2 linked regions of the Ovis aries genome follow. The protein of the gene in region 1 binds, or shares a complex with, the protein of each later gene. Links are inferred from orthologs where the notes say so. Each region holds a gene or a part of one and is shown on either strand. Other genes may lie near its edges. The genes, in order: STAP1 and LAT2.

The links.
Region 2: the proteins of STAP1 (region 1) and LAT2 are in contact, whole or in part, in a crystal structure (PDB 3MAZ), measured with the Homo sapiens proteins. The link is inferred for Ovis aries from reciprocal best matches to the Homo sapiens genes STAP1 and LAT2. Residues at the interface, in NP_001304698.1 of Homo sapiens: Arg184, Arg203, Pro204, Gly205, Ser206, Ser212, Ile215, Gln217, Ile219, Lys225, His226, Tyr227, Lys228, Glu239, Leu240, Glu241, Tyr255, Phe256, Glu259, Thr260, Arg261, Asn263, Leu264; in NP_054865.2 of Homo sapiens: Asn134, Ser135, Tyr136, Glu137, Asn138, Val139, Leu140, Ile141, Lys143.

What each region holds. Positions count from the first base shown.
Region 1 is NC_056059.1:84,108,602-84,118,900, reverse strand, and holds the start of STAP1 (signal-transducing adaptor protein 1), read right to left. Parts: upstream 5,616-10,299; 5' UTR 5,526-5,615; coding exon 5,406-5,525; exon of another isoform or gene 1-5,405. Other genes in the region: CENPC (centromere protein C), read left to right, coding at 7,438-7,482. UniProt on the Homo sapiens protein: In BCR signaling, appears to function as a docking protein acting downstream of TEC and participates in a positive feedback loop by increasing the activity of TEC.
Region 2 is NC_056077.1:33,642,825-33,653,102, reverse strand, and holds the start of LAT2 (linker for activation of T-cells family member 2), read left to right. Parts: upstream 1-4,647; 5' UTR 4,648-4,797; intron 4,798-7,134; 5' UTR 7,135-7,198; coding exon 7,199-7,234; intron 7,235-8,990; exon of another isoform or gene 8,991-8,998; coding exon 8,999-9,116; intron 9,117-9,579; coding exon 9,580-9,619; intron 9,620-10,278. UniProt on the Homo sapiens protein: Involved in FCER1 (high affinity immunoglobulin epsilon receptor)-mediated signaling in mast cells.

The sequences.
Region 1 (10,299 bases):
TAAGAGGTAAGTCTGAGAGACAGGGTCCTCAGCTCAGTCCCTTGCCGTCATCTCTTAACTCAGCCTACCACACAGAGAGGATGTTCTGCTCTGTTCCTGCTACATGGCAGAGGGTCTCCAAGAGGGATAGGCAGAGGTTCACTCTGTGGTGGGGGAACTAATAGCTCATATGCAGCAACTAAGAGTTTGTACGCTTCAACTAAAAAAAAATCCTGTATTCCGAAGGAAGATTGAGGATCCCATGTGCTGCAACTAAGACCCAAGACAGCCAAATCAATTAAAAAAAAAAAATCCTAAAGACTACTTAAATCTGGGGTAAAGTGTCAACACAGTTTTAGTCTTGAGTCTAATCCATATATTGATAGAATTTATTAATAAGAGTAACATTCTTTCCACATGGTAATTGGCATGAGTGTGTAACAGTGGTGGCATCTAAAAATCTCTAAAATAGATCTCTTTCAATGGGATTCTGTACAAGAAGAAATTTTGTAAACTAGAATAATGAAATTCATTGTAATTCCTATATGAAATCATGCTTTCATACGGTCTTAAGTAAAGAGAGAGAAAACTGCATTGAGAAATTTGGTTTCAAAAGTTGCCAACCTATACTGTCTGTGATCAGCCCAGTGTTCTGTAAACACTGTGAAAGTATATTGTCACTCTGTTGAAAGAGTACTTGAATTTTCTCAGAATTGACTTGAGATTAAATAATAAAACAATTCGGTTTTATTGTGGAGCTTTAAAAAAAATCGTATCTCTCTTTTTAAGGCTTTTACATTCTGCTCTAATAGGAAGTCTCTTAATGCAAGGAGCAAGTCAAGGATACATGATATTTTGGAACTATGATGGCGGTGAGGAAGTGGGGAGGAGTTTGGAACATAGGCATATTGGTTAGAGAATTGAATCACAGATTGTGTAGTTTTACTGAAGTATGGCATCTAAGATCAAGGCCAAACCCGATTTTATGATTCCTGGAGGAAAAGAAAACAAGAGAAAAGCCTGTATGAAAGTCTACCACTCTGTTAATCTTCTTAATTAGCCTCATCAGTATTAACCTACCATAGATAGAAAAACTAAAATCAGTAACAGCAGTCAAAGTGTATTGCATTCCCTCTATATATATATGCATACATGCATCTATGCTTCTGAGAAAAATTATAGAGGTGTTCAGGCATGAGAGAATGGTATGAATTGCAGAGTTAATGAAAGAAACATGGGAGCATTACTGATAAATAAACATAGATTTTTAGAAAGGATAAAGGAGGGTTTATTAAATGAGGGAAGAAGCAAGAACAAAAGACACTGAGTTGAGAAAAAGGCAGCCAGGAGGAAAAGGAAGATTATAAATATCAGTGGGCTCTGTGAACACCCAACCATAGCCACAAATCTAAGAATACTTCTAATTTACATTTGGTATGCAGAGAACTGCAGGTCATAGTCTTGATTTAGTTTCTGAGAAGTGCTCCTGGAAACTAGTATAATTTAAGTCATCTATAAATATCAATTGTAATGACCAACATATAGGTATATATTTATATCTACAGAGATAACATAAATATTTTAAAAATTAAATTTGAAGGACCTGTTTTTGAATTAAATACATTTAATACAAGATGTCTTATTTTTAAGCAGTCACTTGTGTTCAGTTGCTGAAGTAAAAAATACTGAAATGGGCCTTTTGAATTTATCACTAGCTTCATTATCATTAGATGACCTTGTATTTAGAGTCTAATGTGACTATTATTTTCATTCATTAAGCAGTGTTTTTGAAAGTCTACTGAGCTTACTGTTGAGCTCAGTGTGATGAAGAATCTAGTGATTAGACATCCCCAATCTTGAAAAACCCAATAAATGGATTTTTTTTTTGAAAAGCAGCATGATGTCAAGTGCTTTGCAATAAAATCCCAGCTGGGCTCTTTATGGTGAGGCACTTTGAACACAAACTCTGTGAGCAACAATTCACCCATCTTGAAGTGGATAAAATTATTTCTACCCAGAAAAATTATTATAAGGACCAGAGAGACAAGACATTAAGAGCCTAACATATCTCCCATGTCAACACCTCAAGAAAATATATAGTCCATTTGATCATCACAGCAACCCATTCAGTTATACAAGAGAGTAACTGTCCATTTTACAAAACAGGAAACAGATGAAAAGATATGAGGGATTGCCTAAGTTCTACAGGAGGACTGATACATCTCCTGGCACCCAGGACTCTTTTCTCGTTGATGTAACTACTAAAATAGGTGACAGTGCAAATCCAGTAAAGTTCCTCTCTATCCCCTGTCCCCAATAAAAAGTTCCTTCCTTTTTTTCTCTTGTGAGTGAATAAAGGTTCTTTGCTTAAGGAAGACCGTTGTATAGTAGTCTACAAAGCGTGGCACTAAACCCCGGAAGCATGTAAGATGATCTCATTGGGGAAGAAACTTTTAGAATATCTCTATTTCATTTATTTCATCTTTCTTAATTCTTTTCTTGCATATAGTCAGTCATTTTTTGGACTTAGTGCAGGAGCACACCATAATTTCTAAACTAATATTCTTATGTTAGAGATCTACGTTCAAAATATTTTCTTGAAAGGAGTGTGTTACTTTAAAAATTTGGAAAGCACTAGCACAGAGAACTTTTTGACAGCACAGCCAAGTCCTAAAATTTTTCTAAATGAATTAGTGGCAGTTGGAGGACTAGTGAGAGAAATGTTACTTTGAAGCTATTTTAATGGTCATATTCTATGTTCAGGCTAATAAAACATATTACATATCATTGTTTTAATTTGAACACATCACAGTTTGAAGAAACTGTGAGATGTTGCCCAAATTCTCTCTTATTTTCAAATAGTTCCCCCATAATAAGAATTTTGTACATTTCTAAAAGCTGTAATGCCATGGATATCTCATTGTAGCACCTAATGGCTTTTATTCGGAGAAGGCAATGGCAACCCACTCCAGTACTCTTGCCTGGAAAATCCCATGGACAGAGGAGCCTGGTAGGCTGCAGTCCATGGGGTTGCTGGGAGTCGGACACGACTGAGTGACTTCACTTTCACTTTTCACTTTCATGCATTGGAGAAGGAAATGGCAATCCACTCCAGTGTTCTTGCCTGGAGGATCCCAGGGATGGGAGAGCCTGGTGGGCTGCCATCTATGGGGTCGCACAGAGTTAGACACGACTAAAGCGACTTAGCAGCAGCAGCAGCAGCAGCAATGGCTTTCATTATCTAATATATCTAATCATCCAGAATTCTAGTGTTGTGGGTTAAGTAAATTTTCCCACATTTTCACCATAAAAATTATGTACTTTTATGGGTTCTTGACCTCGGATCCATGGAACTCTTGGAATTGTGGTTAAAATGGTATATGTTGGCACATTTTCTTAAGGGCAAATCTCCTTAATTCTTAAAAGTGCCCCTGTCAAAGAAGACCTTCTATATACCTTTGGTTCACCTCCCTTTCAAAAATTCTTTGGCACTATGCTGCCACTTGTTTAGAAATCCTAGTATTCTCCTTAACTTTCTCTCGATGCTTCTGTTTTCAAGCAATCTAATTATCACCATGGCCCTTCTTTGAGCGGGATTAAAAACTGATTTTCATATGTTAATAAGAATGTGATAGATAATAAAATAGAAGGAGAATGAATCTAATCTCTAGTATGAGGCAGGTGTTTTATATTTGTTATCCCTTTAATCCTTGAAACCACCTTGTTAGTAGACATTACTGTCGTTCTCTTGCTCTCTTCTCTCTGATGTATAAGTAAAAGATACTTTACTATGAATTCAAGTGGAAGCATAAGTTAATTTCCTCCAAAACTTTTGCACCTATAGTTTATTCTTTCCATTTCAAAGTATGCTTTCTAAGAAAAGTTAGACTGGCATTCGGGTAAGTGAAGTGAGTCATCACTTCTGACTAACCTAACCCTCACGAAGGTAGGGGTTTGTATTTTATTCATATTCTCTGAAACTGAGTGTGATGTTTGGTGCATAGGAAACACAAAATAAACACCACTTAAATGAATGAATTGATTAAGCACTGACTGTATCCCAGGCATTCTACCTTGAGAGGTAAGTCATATTCTCTCCATTTTATAGTTGAGGAAATTTAGTCTCAAGGAAATTAAGTAACGTGTATAAAATCACAGGATATAAGTGGCAAAACCATTAGGTAAAGACATGTTTTACTGACACTCTAAAATCCTTGTTTTTTCTACTATCCAGACCAATGGAATGCCCTTTTTAAACACTAAAGGGAACCCAGTACCAGAAACAGTCATTACAAAGTCTTTGGAAAAATTTCAATAAATAGACAAGTTTAAATTATAGTCTAAACATTTCTTTTTCCCAACTCCCCTTTCCTGGCATGTAACTGACAGATATTACTAATTCATGTTAATACCCATAACAGAATACAAATTACCATGTCTTTCCTCTCCAATATTAAATTATCTGATTATATATGCAAGAAATATGATTGTGCTGCTACAGATATTTTTACATACACAAATTTTCTGTAAGCATTAATAAATCCTCAGAAAATATATTTTTGTTATTAAACATTTCTTAAGGCATTTCTCAAAAACCTAATTTTTTTCTAGCTTCAGTTAATGTTAACATTTCATAAAATTTGACCTAAGTTAATTATTTCTTTTTTCTTTAGTCACAGACACTTCTGTGTTTATGTCTTATTCATTTCAAATTATCCACAATTAGTATTTCAAAAGCACTGATTTTAATTAATTATGTTTTCATTTTTACATTTAAAAAAATACAGAGTGCTTTGTGAATTTTCTTAGAGTGAATGTATTTATGTAGCTTAGCGTACACCTACCCATAGAGCACCCTAAGTATCATCTTTTAAAATCACTATCTTGAAAGTGTCTTAGAACATATAACTAACTATATAGAATCTTAAACATTGTCAAGTTTATCATTGTCTCAATTTTTTCAAAAGTTTATCATAAAAAATAATTTGATCATTATTTAAAAACTTCAATCAAACAGAATAGGAGCAGAAGTTTTAATTTCAGGAATAGTATAATTTTATCTTAATAGTACATGTCATCATGGAAGCATAGTAGTACATGCAGAGAAAATATATACCAAACATTTTATCTTCTAAGCTAAACTTTTCTGTGATGTTTAAATACATTTTTTGGAAATTTAGGAATTTTTTTTACATTAGTGACAACATTAGAATCTTATATTATTATACATAATATATATATGCACATGTGAGTTCAAGCCATATGTTGTATTTAAATTATGCAAATTGGGATCATATTTCTTACCTCAGGAAAGAAGGTTCAATTTTAGCAGAAACAAGAAGGCCCTTGTTTCATCATGTCACCATAAAATAAATTTTACATTAAGACAGAAGCTTCTAGTTTAATATGATCATCTGTGGACTTACCTGGTATTCTGACCGCTTAACTAATAAAAAACCTTCAAAGTACAAGGGTAGAGCAGTAATCTTTGACCTTTCTTGGAAGATCCTGCGAGGGGCTGGTTTCGGGGGCTTCTTAGCCATCATACCCTCTCGTTGGTGTGCGGTTAGTTTCAACTTTATCCAGTTTCAGACAAAATGAGATCTCCCTTGTGTGAGAGGAAAGGGCAACTGTTCAAAGAGGAAGTCCCAGCTAAGAGTTTAAACCACCAATAGGACACACATGCACACTTTTTTTTCTTTATTTTTTGTGAGGTAAGAAAGAACAGGCGTAGACCAACTTTGATAGGGTAATCTCTCAGGAACCTACATGTGTTTAGACTTACAATAGCAAAATAAACAGAAAAGTAATATCACCAGAGGATGAAGAGAACAGATGTGGAGATTATGGACTTTCAAGGAGACATCAAGGTCATGTTTGTTTTCTCCCACCTTTTTTGTTTGTTGCTGCCCGGTTTTGTCCTGAGAAGACATGACTTGAATTAGTTCCACTTCATTAAAAATTACTTAATAGGATAACTATATTAATACTATTTCTGTTTTAGGTACAGCTGGTCTTCTATCCAGATTCTACATGGATTGAATTGACTATACATAGAAAATTTTAGAAAAAAAATTCAGAAACTTCCAAAAGGCAAAACTTGAATTTCCCATGTTTTGAAAACTTTTCATATATTGTATTAAGTATAATAAATAACTGAGATGATATAAAGTATACAAGAGGATTTTGTAGGTTATATGCAAATGCTCTGCTATTTTATATAAGAAACTTGAGCATTCAAGGATTTTGGTATCTGTGGGGGTCCTGGAACTGATCACCTACTGATAGCAAGGGAGGACTGCATTTCAGAACTGAACTTTGTTTAAATTATTAGAAAAATGGTGCTATTTATCCCATGCCCATTTTGATGGTTCACTAAATGTAAACGGCAGTTATGGGAATGTGATATTTTTTACTTCTTTGTTAATCAGTATTTTGAGTTGGTCATTTACCAGTGGATATTTGGCAAAATATGTCTGGAAGAGAAAGCTGTAAATTTTCAAGCTTATATTTTGTTCTTTTTTCTTTCTAAGCAGAGGATCACTGGTGCTATGATGCATAGATGAGGTATGGCTACCTAGTAAGATTTATAGAGCTACACTGAGGCCCAAATGCATTAATTATTTGTTTGTGGAAAATGCTCCTTGAGAGACTGGATTTGGTACAGCACTGTGCAAAGAATGATGGGAGAGAGGAACACAGAAGGAAATCTGGTTTGTTTTGCAGGGGTCTTGAAAGGTTCCACCATTTGCTATTTCACGCTTAGCATTATTACAGAGTTGCTTGAGGTCTAGAATGCAGCCCTGAGCATTCTTCCCTGTTAGACTAGCCTATTCTCATCAGTCAAAGCAATACAGGAATCTACAATCTGAGCCTCCTTTCCTAATGGAAAGACCATGTGGTTTTCCCCACCAGTATGGTTCTATTGGATCTTCAGCTGTAGGTGTGAGGAACCAGACTGTCTACAAAATGAGGTATGATGAAATAAAATTCCTATTTTATAGCCAGACAAGAAAAATTTAAACATAAAATGTTTCTCTTCCCACTTGGGCCTCTTCTCTCCCCTTCAGTGGGTTCAGTATTGTGTATCTGCATTAATCAGGCCTTCCTGGGAGATAACCTTCCTTCTCAATCTGGTAAGGAGGTGTGATGACCCACCACTTGCTTTGTAGTGGCATGTGTAAACTGTCAATATGTTTTTGACCTAAAACTCTTTGTCTCAAAAACTTTTATGATGGTGTTTTGATCTCTAATAAGCAGAACAATCCTTAGAACTATCTGAAAGGTTGTTCCCAAGGTTATAATCCTCAGGTTGGCTTGAATAAAGTTTTCCATTTCTTTCTTAGATGTACTATTGATTAACTTTTTCATTCACATGCATGGTGTAGTTGGCAACATACAAGCGATAACCCACAAGAAGATGCCTGGAATCTTCCCTGACTGGCACTCCACACGAGTATGAGTCCACTGAGCCCCACTGGCTTCTTAGTACTCCTCAGAACAGTGAGTTCTCCTGTTATCTGGATCTCATTGCTTTTAAGTCATAAGCCTGAAAATTTTATTTGAGCTATTTTTATTCAAGACTCGGAGTCTTAGGGGCACTAGTGCATTTCCTAAAGTCGAGATCTAGGGGAATCTGGGGAGGAGGCCCAAGGAAATATGAGTGGTTAGATTTCTGTTAAATTTGGCTTAAGTTAAAAAAAAACTTGATATATAGTCTGAATAAAATATTTCTAGTGAAATGAGAAACTGAATTATTCAGCTTCAAAGAAAAAAAGGACATTTGTTCCTTTGGGCCACAAAGTATTCTCAGGTGACTGAGCATCTAGAGGAAATGTCTGAAGATTAATTGTGACAGAAGTTCTATGGAGAAAGGAATTCTATAGAGAAACTCATTGCAATTGCATAGAATTACAAATAAGTTCTTCTCAGGCGGAGCAATACAGACTGATTATCAGTAAACTAAAGAGTGTTCAGATACATTATGAAAATGAAAACAGCTTTGTCAGGAAGCATTTAACAGGAGGCTTCCTGTGTGCTGTTTTGGATCTGTCAGGAATTCTCTGTTCCTTATTAATTACTGAATACTCAGGAATCAAGAGGAGAGGCAAGCCTCTCCTGGGGGCTGAGGAGTCCAGGCATTTCTTTCATTACTTTTTCTATATAGGGATATGTACCCTCTTCCTTCTTGTGAACCATACGGTAAAAGTGATTGTTTACAACTCTCTCTATATATATGGATCACCTATGTTTTGTAAGTCTGGAATTTTAATCTTTATCTTTGCTTAGAATAACTACCTTGTAAGACAGTATATATGCCCAGACCATGTTGATTAAAACACCTTTGCTCCATCAGAGCTCTGGTCCCCGTGTCTTTCTTTCTCTCTCTCTCTCTCCCTTCTCTCTCTTTTTCAGGCTGATCCCCTGGAGCACAGAGGCTCTCTGAGTTCACTTTCCTGCCTGGGCTTCTAAGACCCTCTCAAGAAGGCGCTCTGTGCCTTCACCCCATCGAGAGAGTGCCTGAGGCTTTCATGAATAGAGCAAGCCCCGTGCAGGTGCTTTATTGGCTTTCTGCGTAAACCAAGGAATATCAGCCTCTTTCTCTCTCCTTTACTTTCTTATCGGTAGACTCTAGACCACCAAGTTCCGGTCCATTAAAGGACCTCAATACAGCTTGAAACTGAAATTGGGAGATGAAGATTCAGAATTACTGCCTTGCCTTTATATTGAGACCTATTTCTTGCTACCCCAAACTTTAAATGATAAAATATAAGTCCAAATACATTTTTTGAGACAAAGCCATAATTAATTTTTAGTTTCAGTATACTAAGGAAGTGATTTGAGTGGTAATCATCAATGGTTGGAATAGAAGAAAAGTAGTCACTGGCCTTATGGCCAGAGAGTTTCATGGGAGAAAGAATATCTCTAGAAAAATGTAAAGATAGGAATATATTTGAGAAATAATTGTCTAGTTAATTATGTCTTTCTTAACTTAAAAAATAAACTACAGAAACCAGTTCAACAGCTTCTGTAAGTTTCTTTGATTTGCCAGCTTGCAAGTAAAATTGATCCTTAATATAACAATGCTCAAATTATATCCCCCCAAACTGACAAAATGCAAAACTCCTGTTGAAATATTATTATCTAGTTGGACCTGTCCATGACTTTCAACATCATTATACCACTGCACCATTACAATAGAAATCCTCTTACAGATATTGCAAGTTTTAGGTGGTGAATAATAAATTTGTAGGTAAGAAAAAGTGTTGAAGCAGAGGGAGAGAAGCCAGTTTTGCTGCTAACCAGCTCCAGACCTTGAACAAACCAGTTCACTTCTCTGGGATAACAGCTTCCTCATTTCTTGCCTTAAGAGCTGCAACAGGCTGCTTTCTGCATGCATGCCAAGTCGCTTCAGTTGCATCTGACTCTGTACAACCCCATAGACTATAGCCGACCAGGTTCTTGCCATGCCCTTCTCCAGAGGATCTTCCTGACCCAGGGATGGAACCCATATCTCTTAAGTTCCTGCATAGCCAATCAGATTCTTTACCACTACTGCCACCTGGGAAGCCCCGGCTTCCTTCTGCTGCTGCTGCTGCTGCTAGGTCGCTTCAGTTGTGTCCGACTCTGTGCGACCCCATAGACAGTAGCCCTCCAGGCTCCCCCATCGCTGGGATTCTCTAGGCAAGAACACTGTAGTGGGTTGCCATTTCCTTCTCCAATGCATGAAAGTGAAAAGTGAAAGTGAAGTTGCTCAGTCGTGTCTGACTTTTAGTGACCCCATGGACTGCAGCCTACCAGGCTCCTCCATCCATGGGATTTGCCAGGCAAGAGTACTGGAGTGGGTTGGCTTCTTTCTAGCATCCTCCTGTTTTCCACTCTTTGCCTCTCTGATCCATTTAAAATGCAGTATAAGCCAGTCATTTCCCTGCTTCAAACATTTTATGAATTCTCAGTCCTTCAGATTCATTCTTTTATCTTTTTCATCAGCAGTAAATATTAATTGAGCACCAACAAAATGTTCAAACATCACAAGGTCATTCCTAACCCTTTTAAATCTACTCCTTAAAAATACTCTCTCTTCTAGAAACTTTGCTTACTCCCAGTTGTCTTAATACTCATGGTCTTTCCCCTCTCCTCATACCTTTCCAATCACTGTACACTTTGCTTTGGTGCCCTTCTGCCCTCTTGCTAATACAACTCCCTACTTGTCCTTGAAGACCCATATTGAGTATATCTTTGTTGTGAAGATCTTCTGAATCCTTCCGCATCCTCAAAAGGAACATTTGTCTCTCTCATCCTGCATTCCCATAGCATTTT
Region 2 (10,278 bases), on another chromosome or scaffold:
GCTAAGGATTAGCCTGGTTCTCTCCATGAAGGAAATTTCTTGGTGGAGATTAAGTCTAGAAGAAGAACTGATTCACTTGAGTTTTGTAAAGCCACTCTGGCTTGAGACCTGCTAGAAACGGTGTTTCTTTGCTATGTCAGGAGATGGTGCAGTGCAACCTCTAGAGACTATGCCTGTTTTTTGTTGTTTTTTTTTTAAACAACCCTACTGTAATTAATCTCTTGTCACAAGTTGCACTTCGAGTACACTTTGGCTTCCCTTCAGTCCTCAAATTCCAAATGGCTGTTGAGGTTGTGCAGGGTCACTCGCACCACGACAGGGCTCGCTGTTCAGAATGACAGCCTCACTAGGACCTGACGGCCTCCTGGAGGATGGAGTCAGCGAGCTGTTTCCGGCTCAGCTTGCCGCGTGCTGTCTGCAGAGCTTTTGTAGGGCCATCAGGGAGGGAGACCGACAGATCACATCTCGAGCTTTCTGATGTCACTGATGGTTCTCCTGGTTCTCCCCACCCTCCCCAAACAGTTTGCTCAGCCTGTAGAGCAGTGAATCACCCTAAAAGGTTCCCCTGAGGGGAGGCTAGGTGGACAGCAGGCTACTCTGGGCCCCTGGGCCTGGCCACTTCTGCCCTTATTGGTGAGGAGCTTTGCTCTGTCACATTTTCTTGGCCAATCTTTAACGCCATTGAGATGTTTGTGTTGCTTTTTATTTGAGGATTGGAAAAGACTTTGATGCTGGGAGGGATTGAGGGCAGGAGGAGAAGGGGACGACAGGATGAGATGGCTGGATGGCATCACTGACTATGGACGTGAGTCTGAGTGAACTCTGGGAGTTGGTGATGGACAGGGAGGCCTGGCGTGCTGCAATTCATGGGGTCGCAGAGAGTCGGACACGACTGAGCAACTGAACTGAACTGAATAGGCTTAAAAACACAACTAGTATCTAAGAGTTTTCCTTTTGCAGTTTTTTGTCATGAGAATGAGTCAGAATAGTGAAAGACTGTTTATTTAATTATAACCTACAACTAATCTCTTCCCACATCTGTAACCACACTCTAACTGTAAAATATTAAATATACAAACAAAAGCATGCTCCTTTGCTGTGGTGGGCTCTTTGGTTTTCAGTTCAGGAACTTAGAGAAAATGTTTCCTATACCTGTTCACCGTGGGACAGAGGGCAATAAAATCATTACTGGCCTGGAAACTTATCTTTTCTAAGCGGGATAGGGAGGCAGGGAGATCAGAGATGCTTTCCAGGTCACCAAAGGGCTCTGTCAGTAGCACCAGGATTCCTCGGAATTACTCTTGAAATACAGAATATGCTTACCAGATTTTTTAAAGTAATGTTTCAAAATATAAATGAAGATGTTACAAACTAAAAACACATGAAGTATATGAAGATTTCCTGCAAATTGGTAAGAGAAAAAGAACTCAGTGGAAAACTAAGCAACAATGAACAGGCATTTCGCAGAAGAGGAAATAAAGTGCTCAACCTCAGTAGTCAAGGACCTGCATCAGGACTACAAAGAAAATACTATTTTACACCCATCCAAACAGCAAAGATCGAGAAGCCTGACAAACCAGTTGCTGCTAAGTTTGTGGGTCTTCACATGTTACAAATGAGAGTCACTGAGTACAGCCACTGTGGGAATTAATTTGAAATGAGCATTAGCCTGAAAATTGAATGGTCCCACACTCTAGCCCAGCGGTTCCTCTCCCAGAGATGCACCCAAGAGAAATAGCCCCACAGCTTGTGTTAATTTTATACACACACACACAAACCACTTTACAAATACCTATATCCAGAATAGAAAACAGTTTTTTAACTATGTATAGCACAGGGAACTATATTGAGTATCCTATGATGAACCATAATGGAAAAGGATTTTTTTTTCTTTTTTAGAAATGTGTATGTATAACTGAATCACTGCTGTATAGCAGAAAGTTATACAACACTGTAAGTCAACTATACTTCAATTTTTTAAAAGTACTTTGAAGGCTAAAAAAAATATGACAAAAACATCACTTAGTTATGAGGGAGGCAGAAGAATGAAGGAATATTCTTGGTTCTGCTGGGTAGTGAGCTTAGGACCAAAGAGAAATGTCATAAATGCCTGGGCGTGACGGGGGGCAAGAGTGATTCTTGTTTGCATCGTAAAGGTTGAGAGTGGCAGCAGCTTTATAGACAGACTCCAGGGGCTTCGAGAATGTTGTATATGCTTCTCAATGTGCATATATCTGAAGAAAGTCCATCACTTCCCATCAGCCTTGAAAGGATGCCCCAGAAGATTCTCAGGGTTAGAACTTAAGATCTTAGAACTGCTGTGTTACTACTTAGCTTGCTTCTGTAACAATTGTGCACACAACTGACACTCAGCTGTGAGCTGAAAAGCCGGACAGTCCTGTTTGGAGTGATGAAGACAAGATGGTGGTGATGGCTGTATGGAGCTGTGAATAATTAATGCCTCTGAGGTGCCCACTTAGAAGTGGGAAAAAATGGTAAATTTTATGTTACATGTATTTTGTCACAAAAAAAAATACCAGAAACCACTGAATTGAAAAAAGAGTTGGGGGCACTAGTATCTATATAACTGGACACAAAATGGCTATTGTGGAGAGGGGTTGAAATGTCTAGTTTTTTAAAGCTTATCTTCTAACTCACATCTGAATGATCTATAAATAGAACTTGGAGGAATTAGAATTGCCTACAAGGGGGCAGTGGAGCCTTCTGGATTCAGGAGTGGATTCAGATTGAGTGGCTCCTCCTCCCACTCAATTTCAAAAAGCGTCTTTGGGTTGAGAGACCCTTGTTTTTTATAGATGGAAAATGGGCTCAGAGAGGATCTTGGGTGCCACTGTGGACGGACCCTGAGACTTTGCTGGCAGTCAGCAGTCGACTCCGCATCCTCCATAAATAAGAAGGCCCTTGACAGAAGCCAGAATGTGAAGCAGAGCTCCATTCCCACTAGACACGTTGGACCTCCTGTCCATCTCTGCAGATAGAGAAACCTGGGCAAGCACACAGCCCAAGGTTGGATGGAAACCAACACAGACTTGTCCCAGTGGGTGAGGAGGGGCCAGGCAGGCGGTCCCAGCGAGCCCCTGAACCCATGAGTGGTGAAAAGACAACAGGCTTTGGGGTCTGGGTTGAAATCCAGCTTAGCCTCTCAGCCTTCAGCCAGCTTGCCTAAGAAAACGAAGGTCTTCTTGCAAGAGTTGCCAAGGGACTTACACATAGTGCTGCCCCCACATGGAATGAGGGAGGCACCCACGGTTCTCAGGCGCAGGTTTGGAACTCTGGTGAGGTTGGCTTTAGTCCTGCTGACCCCACTTGCAGGGGTGAGGACAACCAGCACTCGGGGCCCACGAGGTAGCCCAGGTCCCCACGCCACCCTTCTCCCCCACAGGGTGGCAGCAGTGAGCACCCAGCCCTGGCGGTTTTGGTCTTCCCACTGGGCCTCATTCCTAGCCTCACCTGGCAGGGCTGGACTGGGACCAGAAGAGAAACCCCGTCCCAGCAGAGAGGGGCCCAGAGCTGGGGAGCTCAGGCTCTGAGATGCCAGACAGATGGGGGGTTGAGGTGCGACCCCTGAGGGCTTCCCTGGGGCCCCTAGCAAGTGGGGTAAGAGTCCAGCGGCCTTGGGCACGTTGTTCAGTGACCACTCACAGGAGGTGCTGGGGGACCCAGCCACCTGTCCAGCACCTCCTCACCTCTACGGCCGGATGCTGGGGCAGCAAGTGGAGAGAGTGGCTGGCTCTGCACCTCTATGAGCCTCATCTGGAAAATGGGAGTAAGGGGGCCCCTGGGTCTGGAGGAGCGGCCATGCGTGTCCTTCCTTCTGCCCTTCACCTGGGGCTCCCTTCCTCTGGTGCCGGTGTCTGTCCACTCCGTCCATCTGTCTTTGCCTCTAGCCGTTCGTTACGTCTGCCCTGGCATGTGTCTCTGTGTGTTTGTGTGTCTGTGTTTCTCTTTCTCATTCTTTAGCACGTGTATCTCTTTCTTTGTGTGTGTGTGTGTGTGTGTCTCTCTCTGGTTTTCTTTGTGTGTGTGTGTTTTGGTGTGGGCGTGTATTTCTGTGTGTGTGTGTGTGTCTAGTGTGTCCGTGTCTCACTCTCTGGCTGCCTGTGTGTGTCTGTGTTTCTCATTCTTTAGCACGTGTATCTCTTTCTTTGTGTGTGTGTGTCTCTCTCTGGTTTTCTTTGTGTGTGTGTGTTTTGGTGTGGGCGTGTATTTCTGTGTGTGTGTGTGTCTAGTGTGTCCGTGTCTTACTCTCTGGCTGCCTGTGTGTGTCTGTGTTTCTTTCTCATTCTTTAGCACGTGTATCTCTTTCTTTGTGTGTGTGTGTGTGTCTCTCTCTCTCTGGTTTTCTTTGTGTGTGTGTGTTTTGGTGTGGGCGTGTATTTCTGTGTGTGTGTGTGTGTCTAGTGTGTCCGTGTCTCACTCTCTGGCTGCCTGTGTGTGTCTGTGCAAGCACCCCCATTTCATTCTTCACTGCCTTTCTCCTGTCTCTCTGTGTGTCTCTTCCTCCCTGAGATGGGGTTTCACGTGTGTGTATTCAGCGAGCATGTTGCGTGCGTTTGTGTTTCCACGTCTCTCTCTGTCTCTGGGTATCCCCGCCTCCGTCTATTGCAAGCAGGGCCTGTCCGGCAGAGCAGCGGATGTGTGAAGGCTGATTCAGTGGCTGACAGGAAGCCCGCCGCCCTGCCTGCTGCCCGCCAGTGTCTGTGGCGTTGGCATCGGCTCGTGCAGGTGTGCGTGCTCAGGATGAGGTGGCCACGGTGAGGAGGCCCCCCGCTTCAGGTAAGCCTTTCCCAGGGGTACCTGGAGCCTGGGCCTGAGGCCAGGGTCCTGAGGCTGCCCCCCGACACCCCAGGGGGATGGGAGAGGCCCTGTTGTCCTGGCAGGAGCATCTGGTTGCCCGTTGGGTGGGCCGGGAAGAAACCAGGACGCCCCACACCTCCTGTCCTGGTGCCCCCCGGCTAGGGGCCCCTTGCCCCAGCCCCTGCAGCACCCCAGGGGCAGTTGTTTCTGGGGCTCCGGCCCCTCTCCTGCCCTCGCCTTCCCCGGCCCAGCCTGCACAGCCCTGGGAAGCACCCAGGGTGGTCCCATCACTTCCAGAGACTGCTGAGGGGCCAGGACAGGGATCCCGGGGTGGGGGGGGCTCAGGAGCTTTGGTTTCTTCATCTGTAAAATGGGACTGTAACGACCCTGCTGCGGAGCTACGGGATGATGGGAGAGGCGCTCCAGGCGAGGAGGCCGAGGTCCTGCCCCAGGCCCGGAGGAAGAGCTGCCCCGGCCGCCCCCCCCCCAGCCCCCAGCCTGGCCACCAGGTGCCTGCCTTGGGGGCTGTTGAGAAGATACAGGCCCTGGGGTGCTCCCAGGGCTCTGCTCTGTCAATGGGAGGCCATGGCCTTCCCCTTCCCCTTCCCCTTCCCCTGCCCAGAACAGGAGCTTCCCTGGGGCCCTGCACCAGGCGCCTGAGCATCAGCCACCTCCATTAGAGACCTCTGGTGAGCCTCATCTGAAGGCCAAGGTTCTTTGGGGAAACAGAGCAAAGCCCAGCCGATAAAGCCTTCCAAGGGCTGGGATGGGAACCTCTTGACTCCATCCCTACCCCGCAGCCTGCCCTTTGGCCCCGGCAGGCCTCAGTTACCCCATCCACAGCAAGAGGAGGGCTGGGGGGCTGGGCAAGAGGGACGCCAAGGGCCTTTGGGGGCGGGAGGCTGGGTGCTGGGGCCGCTCAGCCCAACCCTGAGAGCTCTTCCGCCGTGGGCTTGTTGCAAACCTTGTTCATCTGAAAACTGCCCACTTCCCTTTCTGCTATTTTGGCCTGCAGGCCTGGGGCTGCGGTGGCCTCCTCTCCCCTCCCCACTCCACCCCGGGCGGCCTGGCCCCCGGGGGCCCTCCTGGCGCTGCGGGGGCCCAGCCCCTCTCCTTTCCCCCGCTGCCACCCCACCTGTTCTCAGACCTGGGTGGGAAAACAAGCAGAGAAGACAAGTTGAGTCCGTCTTGGTCTCGGGGAAGAGGCAGTCCTAGTTTCTTCCTCAAATGAATCTTTTTTTTTTTTTTTCCAAATGAATCTTTTAAAAACCATATTGTGTGAGTCTTTTTTAAAAATGTAATTTAAAAAAGGATTTACAGGAAGGAGTGTAGGCCTAGAGTCCACCTGCCCTGAGTACAGGTCTTGGCTCTGACTGCTCAGCTGTGTGACCTTGGGCAGAGTACTCACCTCTCTGGGCCGCCCTCTCCTCCCTTGGAGAAGAAAGGAGCCGACCTCTCCGAGGGGATGCCGTGTGGCTCTGTGACAACTGCGGGGCCGGGTGCAACAGCCACGCTCGCCTTCAGATCCCAGGGTCTCCCAGGGTCCCAGCACGACGCCCCTCCTGGGGCAGGCTCAGGCCTGTGTGTCTGGGGGAGCAGGCAGGGAGGGCTTCAGGCAGGGTTGCCCCATGCTGTCCAGTGCAGGCCAGCCAGCCAGGATGCAGCTAACCCCTTCCCATCCTGCGGGGACCGTGATGATGACAAGTCACGGTGGGCACAGCCAACTGTGCCCCACACCAGCCATCAGCAGCGCCTCCAGGTGTCATCTCAGCACTGGGCCTCCTATGACGAACCCGAGGGTTGTGTCATTTTTTCCCTCCATTAACAGGGTGACCGGTGGCATTGGAACTCAGCTGCTGGGGCAGAATTTGTGTTCTCATGCCCTGCCCCCTTCCCTCACACAGTGCCAGGCGGGGGGAAGATGGACCAGGGCTAGGAGCATGCCTGACTGTGGCTCATCCCAGAACAGCAGAGCCAGGAAGCAAGAGGGCTCTCTGGTGTTTGGGGGTCCTCGGGGAGGGAGGGCAGCAGAGCTCAGCAGCCCAGATCCTCGGGCCTTGAATGCCAAGCTGAGTATGTGGACTTGCCCCTGGGGTCTCAAGCAGACCCCAAGGGTGGCCAGTGCTGGACCCTTGTCCCACGGGAGTAACCCCCCGTGGGTCTACCCCCAAACCTCCTTGGGGGCAGAAAGAGCCTTCATCTCGACCCAAAGATAAACGTGTCAAGGGTGGGCACTCAAGGGAACTGTCCAAACCAGCTGGCCGGAAGTGTGACACTCAGCAAGTTTCTCTTCCTGAAACCCTGACTGTGGTCCAGGCTGGATGTGTGTGTACTCTCCACAACTGTTGGAGGAAGGCCCTGGTCGATCCCAGTTTTACAGATGAGCAAAGTGAGGCCAAGAGACCCTGAGATACAGGTAGGGGTCCCCCTGTCCAAGACCAGGGGCTCCCAACCTCACCAGCCCTGGATGGACTTGGGCCTTGGCTGGAGGCCCAAGAGGGAGGCGGCCCTGGACCAGAGGGAGGTCTGGGGAGGGTGGAGGGTATGCGGCCTGGGAAGACGGTGCCCCAGCTCCTAGAGGACGGGGAGCTGAGGTCCCCTGGAACAATATCCTGGGGGTGACCGGTCCATCCTCTCTCCTTATATGGAGGCCACTGGGTCCCAAGGTCTGGGAATGGTGGTGTTCCCACAGACTCACTTGGCATTTGCGGGAAGGAGAGGTAATTTCTGCATGACGGGCCGCTGACAGAGGCTGAGCCCTGCACGGAGATTTCCTGTCAGCTTTGAAACGGGGATTCAGGAAGCTTGGGGTGGTGAGCGGGGCCACAGGGTATGGTGCAGTCCTCTGGGGGAGCCAGAAAGAAGGAGGAGGCCTGCACAAAGCTCGGGTCTCCTTCAGCCTTGCCTCCCGCAGCTGTGAAGCGAGAAGCCTCCTCCCAGGTGGCCGAGGCGGGAGGCACAGGTGTTCACAGAGGGGATGCTCCATAGCATGGGGTCCACGTGCCCACCGTGGGGCACAGGCCCCGCAGGACCCCTGCTGTCCTCTGCCTACTGTCACTTTGCAAAGGAGGCTGAGTCTCTTTAGAGTTGCAACAAATCTCCCTGGAGGGCCCCTCAAGAGGGCTGAACTTGCACTCAGCAGGCCTTGCTAGGTGGCTGCCTGCAGCTTTGCTGAGGCCCCGAGGCTGGGACCAGCCACTGACCACAGAGTGGCCTCTTAACCCCATCTCCCAGTACATTCCTCTACCAGCCACCAAAGTCCCTCCGCCCAGGCGCCCTTCCCCCCTTCCTGGTCTCAGGCCCACCTCCTCCGAGAAGCCTCCCTGACCTTCCTCCCAGCTCCAAGGACAGGAGGAACCAGAGCATCTGGGTAGACAGGCATTTTAGGAATGGAAAACGCACCCCCAGCTTCCCCAGGAGGCCTTGGGTGGGAGCAGAGAATCACCCTAGGGTGGATGGGGGCTCTGGTGTAGAAGGGGCAGTGGACTCTGAGCTTGGGGAACAGCGCTGGGTTCGCAGGAGGTTTTATCACAGGATGAAAGAACAGAACAAGCATTAGGGTCTGGAGTCCTTGCATGCGTGCTGGGTCACTTCAGTCATGTCTGACTCCTTGCGAAACTGTGTGGACTGCAGCCCACCGGGCTTCTCTGTCCATGGGATTCTCCAGGCAAGAATACTGGAGTGAGCTGCCATGCCTTCCTCCAGGGGATCTTCCTGACTCAGGGATCGAACCCTCATCTCTTAAGTCTCCTGCACTGGCAGGCAGGTTCTTTACCACTAGCACCTCCTGGGAAGCCCCTAGGGTCTGGAGGCTGGCATTCAAATCCTGCCTTTCCCCTTTGCAGCTGTGGAATTTGAGGCTTCCGTTTCTCTGTTTGTGAAATGGCTCTAGCCTCCCCCTCGCGGGGTGGCTGGGTGGACTAAGCAAAGGTGTGCGTGGGAGTGTGCGCTTACAGGCAGGTTTCCAGAACCTTCCAGCACTTGATGATGGCCCTGGGGGACCTGAGGTGCAGGTCTGGGGTCAGATGAGCGGACAGGGCTGGTTCTGACCCGTCTGGTCCCAGAGCAGGGAGGGTAGGGGACGCTGGGCTGTCAGGGGACAGTTGGGGGAGGGTTCCTAGCAGGGGCAGCCCTGTGGCCCCCACCCTGGCTCACAGTGCCCCCTGTCGCAGCCCTGCAGGAAGAAGAGCGTCCCGGAGTGGACATGAGCACGGACACAGAACTGCTGTGGCCGGGGGCTGCTCTGCTGCTGCTGCTGGGGGCAGCAGCCGGCCTGTGTGTGCGCTGTTCCCGCCCAGGTAAAGCCTGGGGGTCGTGGACCTGTGGGAGGAGTGCGCGGTGTCCCCAGAGAGCCGCTCAGGCCCAGACCCGGCTGCTCGGAAGGGGCAGTCAGATAAGCCTGGGGGCGCAGAAGTGAAACCCAGGGACACGGCCCCTGATCGTTCTCTGAAGACCACGGGTCTGACTGAATGGGAGTGTTGGTTCTCCGGGGTCAAAGGCATCTGTCTGCGCATGGATTGTGCCGGACAAGGGAGGGGAGAGGGGGCTGGGCTGTCTGCCTTCACGGTCCACTCTCCTAAGTAAATGGTGAGCAAACCTCGCCAGGGTCAGGTGGCCCCCAGCGATGAGTGGCTCAGCCCCCATGTCTGGTCTGAGGCCTGCCCAGGGCAACAGGGGAGATGGTTGGGCCTCGATCTCAGCTCCCACCTGGCCCTGGGGGGCGGGATCAGGGAACTGGCTAATCTGGTCCTGCTCTTGCAGGTGCAAAGAAGTCTGAGAAAATCTATGAGCAGAGGAGTCTGTGAGTGTCTCCCCAGCCCAGTGATGCTGTGTGTCCTGCCTGGGCGGGGGCCGTCCCTGTGGGCCTCCCCTCAGGCACCTCGCCCCCACCCCTCACCCCTTCACTTTCACCTTCTCCATGCTGGGCTCCAGTGGGTCCTCAGCACTTAGGGGAGGGTGAGGGGGGAGGGTGAGGAGGTGCCCAGGGACCGCCCAAACCCTGCCCCAGACTAGTTGGGGAGGGTGGGAGGCACGCTCCAGTGAGCCCAGGAGCGTCTCCAGAAATCCCCGCCGTGACCCCACCCCAGTGGGAACTAGGCTGTGCTGGGGGGTTGACAGAGGAATCCCGCCCTCCCGTTGCAGGGACAGGGACCAGGGACCAGGTGCTGGGTCCGAGACAGCATGTGGGCATGAAACTTGGGGGGATCACGGAAGGCCTCCTGGAGGAGGCGGGAAGAATCTGAAGAGACAGAAGGGAAAAGGGGGACATTCCAGAGAGAGAGGGGACATTCCAGAGAGAGAGGGAACAGTGTGGGCAATCACTGACTTCAGGCCGGGGTGGACACTGCCTCGGGTTTGATGCAGCTGGAGTGAACATGTCTTGAGAGTAGTGAGCTGAATTCGGAGGAAGGAGAGTCTTGAACGTGGCCCGAGGCCTTGGCCTTTGTCCAAAGGGCCAAG